Danio rerio: one gene and its partner. The protein of the gene in region 1 interacts with the protein of each later gene in a biochemical or structural test. Links are inferred from orthologs where the notes say so. Each region holds a gene or a part of one and is shown in the gene's direction. Other genes may lie near its edges. The genes, in order: btk and sh3bp5a.

The links.
Region 2: the proteins of btk (region 1) and sh3bp5a form a complex in vitro, tested with the Homo sapiens proteins (2 studies listed by BioGRID, with this or other methods). The link is inferred for Danio rerio from reciprocal best matches to the Homo sapiens genes BTK and SH3BP5.

Annotation. Positions count from the first base shown.
Region 1 is NC_133189.1:43,489,150-43,492,975, reverse strand, and holds part of btk (tyrosine-protein kinase BTK), read left to right. Parts: intron 1-1,780; exon of another isoform or gene 1,781-2,716; coding exon 2,717-2,835; exon of another isoform or gene 2,836-2,868; intron 2,869-2,917; coding exon 2,918-3,075; intron 3,076-3,180; coding exon 3,181-3,258; 3' UTR 3,259-3,826. UniProt on the Homo sapiens protein: Non-receptor tyrosine kinase indispensable for B lymphocyte development, differentiation and signaling. Binding of antigen to the B-cell antigen receptor (BCR) triggers signaling that ultimately leads to B-cell activation.
Region 2 is NC_133194.1:2,323,649-2,328,255, forward strand, and holds the start of sh3bp5a (SH3 domain-binding protein 5), read left to right. Parts: upstream 1-1,514; 5' UTR 1,515-1,804; coding exon 1,805-1,885; exon of another isoform or gene 1,886-3,920; coding exon 3,921-3,983; exon of another isoform or gene 3,984-4,254; intron 4,255-4,607. UniProt on the Homo sapiens protein: Functions as a guanine nucleotide exchange factor (GEF) with specificity for RAB11A and RAB25. Inhibits the auto- and transphosphorylation activity of BTK. Plays a negative regulatory role in BTK-related cytoplasmic signaling in B-cells.

The DNA of each region.
Region 1 (3,826 bases):
CTATTACTTACCACTTATCACTTATTTTCTCTAATGCCGAGTTCAGGCTGCATGGTTTTCAAAGTAGTCGTGTCACGAATGTTTTCACACTGCATGACTGTCTGGGACAGCGTTCTGTTGGTGGTGTGTTTACACTGCAAGATGGATCGGCGACAAAGGGTTTCAAACTGCATGACTTTACTATAGGAAGAATCGCAGACAACTTTGTCTAAACTACGTTTCACAAACAAACACAGACGAGTAGTGACATGGAAACACGAGGTCACGTAGTAGCCTATATATTTTAATATTAACTACATAATGAGAAAGAAGACTTTAGAGGGGTAGAAAATCTACTTATTTTACTCACATGACTTTAAAGGGAACTAACATTAGCAATTTCTCTCAAACTTTTTTTTTGACTTGGTTGAGGTTGCCCGGTTGCTCAGACCAAATTTGCACTAGTTTTTCCTCCATTTCTTGTGTCCAAATCACTTTTAACTTCTCCCCCATCCTCCCGATGGCCTGCAGGTATCCACCAATGACTGTAAAAGGTATCCACAGTTGTGGGCGCTGTTCTCTCATTGGCTGTAGGTAATCAGTCATACATACATTTTCTTGTCGGCTTAGTCCCTTTATTAATCTGGGGTCACCACAGCGGAATGAACCGCCAACTTATCCAGCATGTTTTACACAGCAGATGCTCTTCCAGCTGCAACCCATCATTGGGAAACAACCATACACACTCATTCACACACATACACTACAGACAATTTAGCTTATTCAATTCACCTATACTGCATGTCTCTGGACCTGTGGAGGAAACCGGAGCACCCGGAGGAAACCCAACTGAGACTCGAACCAGCGACCTTCTTGCTGTGAGACAACAGCACTACCTACTGCAACACCGCGTCGCCTAGCTGTAGGTAATCGGCGATGTTACTTTAGATCAAAACACATTTCACACAGCTCCAGATATATAGCATTTAGGGTGTTAGCGACTCATCTGCAATTCTCTCAGATCACGTCTTTGATGGTTAACACTGTGTGATCGTTACTCATATGAACGAGCACCGATTTGCCTGTAATTTCAGGCATTTGTCAGCAATTTCTCAAAGCCTGTCGCCGAGTCAAAATCGGGGCTAAAATCATGCAGTCTGAAGCATAACAGAGAGCATGATCCAGACCTGATTAAAACTATATATTAGCTTAATGTAAAGGGATACCCAAATAAAAAAAAAAAGTGTGATGGCGTCTGTTTCAAGAGATTTACAAAGAAGGTTTTGTCAGAATCTCTTTTTGTTTAGTTTTTTTAATTTTCTCTAAAAGCCTTGGAAAAGAAAACTAGCAGTCTAGGTAAGAAGTGCTGCATTTCTGACAAATGGTTTAGGTGTTTGGTCAATCAGAGTTGACCATACTGTGCTTTTCAGGAGGCTCGTTGTAAAAACCAGAACCCAATCGGACAGAGTTTTAGACTGGGAATAAATTTGTTGCAATAAAGTACAACATGTGACAAAAAAATAAATTAAACTAAAACATGAAAGCATATTGACGCTTGTGAAAATTATGACCTTATAAAATATCAACATATTTCCTTTTTAAGCTAAATTATTTACATATATATATACAGTTTAACAGACCTTTTAATTTATTAGCCCACCTGTAAATTGTCCCTGAATCTTAATAATATTAATATTAATATTAATATTAATAGGGGGTGTTGTGGAAAAAAGATTCTGGTCTGCAAAAATATTAGTCTTTAAGTCAAACTTTTCAAAAAATGACAAAGTCTGAGATCTTCGAAGTCTTTAGACGAAGCAGTTTATTGTTACAGCATCAGTAACAACAGAGAGGTCGTTCGAGTGTCTGCCGAACATAGGCTTGCATACAGTTTAAATACATCTCTGTGTCTTAATACTCCACCCTAATTTACACATTACACACCTCCATCAGCTCCTCCGCTAATGGGATCTTAACTCTCTTAGGTGCCCGCCACCAATAAAGTCTCAGGGTCTTTTAGGGGTCTTACCCATGTCCAGTTAAGGTCTTTCCTTCCTGCTTCAAAAGCGATGACTCAGCCAAAAAACAATGCTCAACAATACATCTTGTTCACTGAACTGTCAACTGTAAGTTCAGCTGAAGTTCATAAGTGCTCATAATTCTTTAGATGTCAGTACAAGTGTGTGGGCACACGTGCAGGTGTGCTTTATCATGAGTTACAGAACAGAACGCAGGTGTCCTTATGGCCTTGCTTCCATAAATCAACCCTCATTGTGACATTAATGCTGCTCTTCTAATTTATCTTCTCATCTCTGACTGCATTTACACAGAATTACTTTTTTATTTACCAAAGCACACATACCTGATAATAATGCCACAGGTATGGGTAATACTATAATAGATAATAATACTGAAATCACTCAAATAAGCATATAAATGAGAGTAATACATTCATCAGAAATTCATCAAGACACAATGAAATCCCCAACAGGGGTTAATAATATTAACCTTAAAAGTGATTTTAAAAAAAATTAAAAACTGCTTTTTATTCTAGCCAAAATAAAACAAATAAGACTTTCTCCAGAAGAAAAAATATTATAGGAAATTCTATGAAAAAGTCCTTGCTCTGTTAAACATCATTTGGAAAATATTTAATAAAAGACAAAACAAAATCACAGGAGGGCTTATAACTTTGACTTCAGCTTATTATTACTACTAACTGTTGCTGTCCTTGCAGATATGTTCTGGATGATGAATACACCAGCTCTGTCGGATCAAAGTTTCCAGTGCGCTGGTCACCTCCTGAAGTCCTCCTTTACTGCAAGTTCAGCAGCAAGTCAGACATCTGGGCATTTGGTGTGTCACAGCTACATTTTCAGCATAGATTACCTTCAGTCAATAAAACAGTGCTAATTATTGTTTATTATCTCTCTGACAGGCGTTTTGATGTGGGAGATTTACACTCAGGGCAGAATGCCGTACGATCGGTGGAACAACACAGAGATTGTGGAGAAGATTTCTGCAGGACACCGGCTTTATCGTCCACAAATGGCCAATGAAAATGTCTTTGCCATTATGAACAGCTGTTGGCATGAGGTATATATAGCTGTGTGTGTATACTGAACATTTTTTTTAATCTAATATCTTATCTGATAATTCAAATGTGATTTGACAAACTAAAGAGTTTGCCCTTTTTTGCAGAGACCCGATGAGAGGCCCACGTTCCAGGAACTTGTTGGGGTCATCAAGGATTTGCTTTTCAGTATGCAAGAGATATAACTACTGTGCATCTGTAGACATGAAGGATACAGTCCACCTAAAGCAATCAAGAATCATTATGAAAGCTGTCTTGAATAACCTTCTCAGTTCATTTCTTTTACCTGAGAAACCCAGTAATGTGAACGATGAGTTACATACGTTTTCATATATTAGTGTAAGTTTGAAACATTGCAAAAACAGGAGATTGAAATGTGATTTCTCATTAGATATTTCACCCCCCCCCCTCCTCTTCCTGCATTTTCCTCAAAGCTCTGCTGTATTTATAAAATTTCTTTCAGTTTCATCTAAAAATAAAATGTACTTTTTAATATCACAATTATAATAACAAGCAACATTAACAGTAAAAACTACGCATGCGTATGCATAATGCCTGTGTGTTGATTTTTGTTGATTTGGCTGTGTATTGATATACTAAATATATAAGTTTAACTTAGTACAATGTAAAACAAAGTGTGATCTAGAATAAATCTAGTGTAAATATATCTGTGTATATTTTATTAAAAACATTCTCTCCTGTGAATGAAATCTGAGGGGTATTTAATTAAAGACTACACTTCATCTTCTTCAT
Region 2 (4,607 bases), on another chromosome or scaffold:
TTTTGATTAAATGTTATTGTTTTCCATTCTGGTATTACTGTTGTTAGTACTACTATTAGTTTAATAATTATGGCTGTGTAAATAAATAACATACTTTTAAAAAAAATTTGAAAACGCTTTATTTACTTTTAGTTCCAGAAACTTTTGTTAAAATAATTAGGAATCACAAACAATGAAGAAACAGAACAAAGAAGACAGATATAAACTGTGCAGGCAGAAAATCCTGTGTTGATGGAGCAGAATATGGAGCTCTGTGTGCTGTAGAGGCTGTCCAGCAGCTGCAGCAGGCTTTACTCAGTGTCCACAATGTACAATACATTTTAACCACAAACAAACACTTATAAAAGATGGTCTTGGTGAAACGGATAAAAAAAAAAAACACGACACGAAGAGGTAATTTGATTAAAAAAAAAACATTATTGAGTTACAGCTTAAATGAACTTTATAAAGAAAAAACAACATTACGCACACATATTAATACAGCTGTTTTGTGTCAGTTACATCGGTTCACTGTTGAAACTCAAATATTTAACCCAACTGGTTGAGTTATTAAATAAATAACCAAATAAAGGTTAAAAATAACCCAACAAAGCACCAAATATTTAACCCAACTGGTTGAGTAATTAATATATAAACTAATAAAGGTTAAAAATAACCCAACAAAGCACCAAATATTTAACCCAACCATTGGGTAAAATAAATAACTCATTGTTTTTTAGTGTATATATGTAAAACAGTTAACAGATAATATCTAAAAATATATGTTAAACCATTTTAATTATAATATATACAATCAATAATTTATGAATTCAGTCTAATTACATTACTGACCTCAAAACATAATCATGAAATTATTCAAATATCGCAGGTTGATTTTTGTTGTTGATGGGATTATTCGTCTACAAGGAGCTGCACATGCATGATGTCGAATGTTCTCCACCAGAGAGCGCCATTTCCCAATGTTTCTCAAAGCAGTGGAAACACTTTTACAGACGTTTATTAGAACATTCGGGAATTTACATTTTGCTTAAACTCTAAGTAATTCTAAATTGTTTTAACCAACATAAGGTTGAAATATGGATAATCCGATTTTTGTTACGGCTATTCATGCTGTCTCAACATAAATCAGTTAAGTTATTGTTACAAAAGTGGACTAAACTTTAAAAAAAAATTAAGTTTCTCGCAAAAATCGCCAAAATTGCGTTTAGCTTGTTTTAAATATGAAGTCTGAACATGCAAAAATAAAAAATACAAATAAAAAAATTGAGTGTGCGGGCAAATTAACTTTTCTAGTCATCTCAACTTACACCAACTGACAACAAATAATAAGTTAAACTTTGAGTAAAATAGTTGAAACTTGATTAGCCTATTAAAATAAATTAAAGCATCATTCAAGTATGTATTGCAATATTTTTTGTTACATTTTTACACTAATACTAACTAAAAAACGCAGATAAAGCAGTTATTTCCCGTGTTTCTCTCTCTCTGTGTGCGTGTGTGTGTGTGTGTGAACTGTAGTGACCCTCCTCTTGAGCACAGCAGCGGGTGTTTGTGCCGGAGGAGGCGGGCAGGATCTCGGCAGATCTCATTCTCCTTCTGCCGGTGTTTTCTACGGGTGTGTGTGTGTTGGTATAAGCACGATATCTTTCATATCTAATGTGAGGGATCGATTTAGTCTCTTTTAATCGCGTTTTCTGGCTGTCTAATGGAGTGACCGCAGATGCGCGGATCTGGAACCCGTTATCCCGGACAGAGACACGCTTTGTTCAGCCGGTAAAGAAAAACAATCACGTCTACAAGCAAAATGAACGAGCCGGAGAAAGAGAACAAATCTGATGAAGACTCGGAGTCTCTGGAGGAAGAAGAGGTCGACCCGAGGATTCAGGTATGAGATGGAAATCAATGCGAGAATTCACAACGACAAAAAGGCTTAAAGCGGATTAAAACGAAAGCTGAGGGGATTCCTACAGGCTCTATCATAGTAAATATGTGGAATTGTCTAACTTATTCTTATTTAACCTTGACAAAACCTGAACTGAAGTTAAATTGCACGGGCTTTTAAACGTATAGCTGCAAAACTCGAGCATATTTTGTCGTGTAATATACGATTCCAGCCCTATGCTTGTTCAGATTGTCATAAAAACCAGCTGGTGTTTGATTTGATGAGGGGAACCCCAAATCGTTACATCATCTCTTATTTTATGTTACATTGTTTCATTGTTGCATTGACAATCTGATACATGTTTACTTTGACGTCATATTTAGAACTCAGTTTCCTCTGGTAAAGAAACAATTGATCTCACGTGCACTGCATGCAGGATTCAGTGTCGTTTCTGAAGGGCAAGTTGGTCTTATACTCGCACATTCAGACTTTTACTTCTTAAAATCATTTCATAAAAGTATTATTTACGAATTCTATATAGAGAAATCATGTTAGCAGTTTAGGACTAATCAGTTAATAAAATAGTAATGTTGTCTTAAAGTCATAATAGGCAAGGCAAGGCAAGTTTATTTATATAGCACATTTCATACACAGTGGCAATTCAAAGTGCTTTACATAAACAGGAATAAAAAAGACAAGTTTAGGAACATAAAATGCAGACAATAAAAATTATTAAAAACATATAAAAACAAATTAAAATGAGTTAAAATAGGTTATAAAAGAATGAAAAAGAAAACGAAAAACATAATAGTGCGATCTGTCGGATCATAATGCCATTTCAAACTGATTATTCAAAATAAACTACACAGGGCCGTAGCTAGCCTGGTGAAAATGGTGTTTTTTTTCTCAATAAGTGGACCTTTTTGCAGTTATTCACCTCATTTTCTATTTAATCATGAGGTTTAAATACTGCATTTAGGTGACATTAAGCACACATTTTAGCTGAATTAGCTTGTCAGGTTAGGGTTAGGGTCATAACTACACTTTTTGCTGTATCAAACATATTTCTTATATCATTAGAATAAAAAAAAAATGACAAATATTAATCATATATCTTTACAAAAAAGTTTTAAATTGAAAACTGTAGCTTATTGTGTCATTTATAAGATGAATAACAAACTGGCCAGCACATTCAACTTTCCTCAGTCACAATTTGTCCATTTGAATAATAAAAAAAATAAAACATAATAGGCGATGCGGTGGCACAGTAGGTAGTGCTGCCGCCTCACAGCAAGAAGGTCGCTGGTTCGAACCTCGGCTGGGACCGCTGCCATTTCTGTGTGGAGTTTGCATGTTCTCCCCATGTTGGTGCTCCGGTTTCCCCCACAGTCCAAACACATGCGCTTTAGGGGAATTGAATGAAGTAAACTGGCCGTAGTGTATGAGTGTGTATGGATATTTCCCAGTACTGGGTTGCGGCTGGAAGGGCATTCGCTGTTTAAAGCATATGCTGGAATAGTTGGCGGTTCATTCCGCTGTGGCGACCCCTGATGACTAAAGGGACTAAGCCGAAGGAAAATGAATGAATGATAATGGTTCTACTGTATGGCATCACTGTGAAAACTCTTTTAGTTCTCATATAGAATTAAGAGCTTAAAGTCTGTCCTGATACTTTATCTTCTTCTTCTTGAGTGCTTGTTTTATCATTCAAAAGATCTTTTTGTAACATCTTTTGCTTTAAAAGTGCACGTGAAGAACGTCCTTTACAATAAAAGAAGGCATTTCTCTTGATACGAGAGCACTGCAAAGAGCCTTGTGCTGAAGACTGTGCTAGTTGAACTGGTTTTTCATCCTCCACCCATGTAGGAAAACAAACGCATGATCTGCAAATGAAAACAACATCTGTGTGTCATCAGCGTGAAGCTAACATCAGCGCGCATTTCAGCTTCACTTTAGCATTGGGTTACATCAATAACACTTTCCAGATGTTGTTCCACTGACATCTAACTGCAATCTCCACTGCTTTATCTCTGCACAGGGAGAGCTGGAGAAACTGAACCAGTCCACGGATAACATCAACCAATGGGAGACAGAACTGGAGGTGAGCTTTCCACAGGCTTGCTTTGAGCTCTTGCTTGTTTCTGCTGAAAATGTTTGCAGGCGGAATTTCACAGTGGAACCAGTCTAAGAGCTCAGCTCCGCCCTCCATTCCACCACCTACCAATAGGAAGTTCCCTGTATGTGACTGACAGGTCTATATCTGTAGAGCAAACAGGGGAAATCTGGAATTCCTGCCCTGAAAGCCACAACTGCTTAAGAAGTCGTTTAGGAAAATGCTTGTCATTCCAATCCCTGGAGACTCTGCGTCTTCACTGGAATACAAACAAGGAGTAAATTGCCAGTGGTTATACTGGCACAAGAAATGTCCATTTCCTTGATTTGTTTCAGCTAATTTATAATATCCTTTAAAAGATTTTGCATATGCATCCTTACAAAAATATGTAGTTCTGTGGTAACTGATTACAGCATGGTATCCCAAAGTATTTCAATATAATTTAATAGTAATACCATGACCAAAATAAAAGAAGAGAAATATTATTTTATTGTTGACGCCTGTGTAGTAATATATGCCTTATATCAGGGTTATTGTTCTAACATTAAATGTTTTTTGAAATAAAACAAAACTAAAACTCACGCTGAAAAATAGTCATATATATACATATGT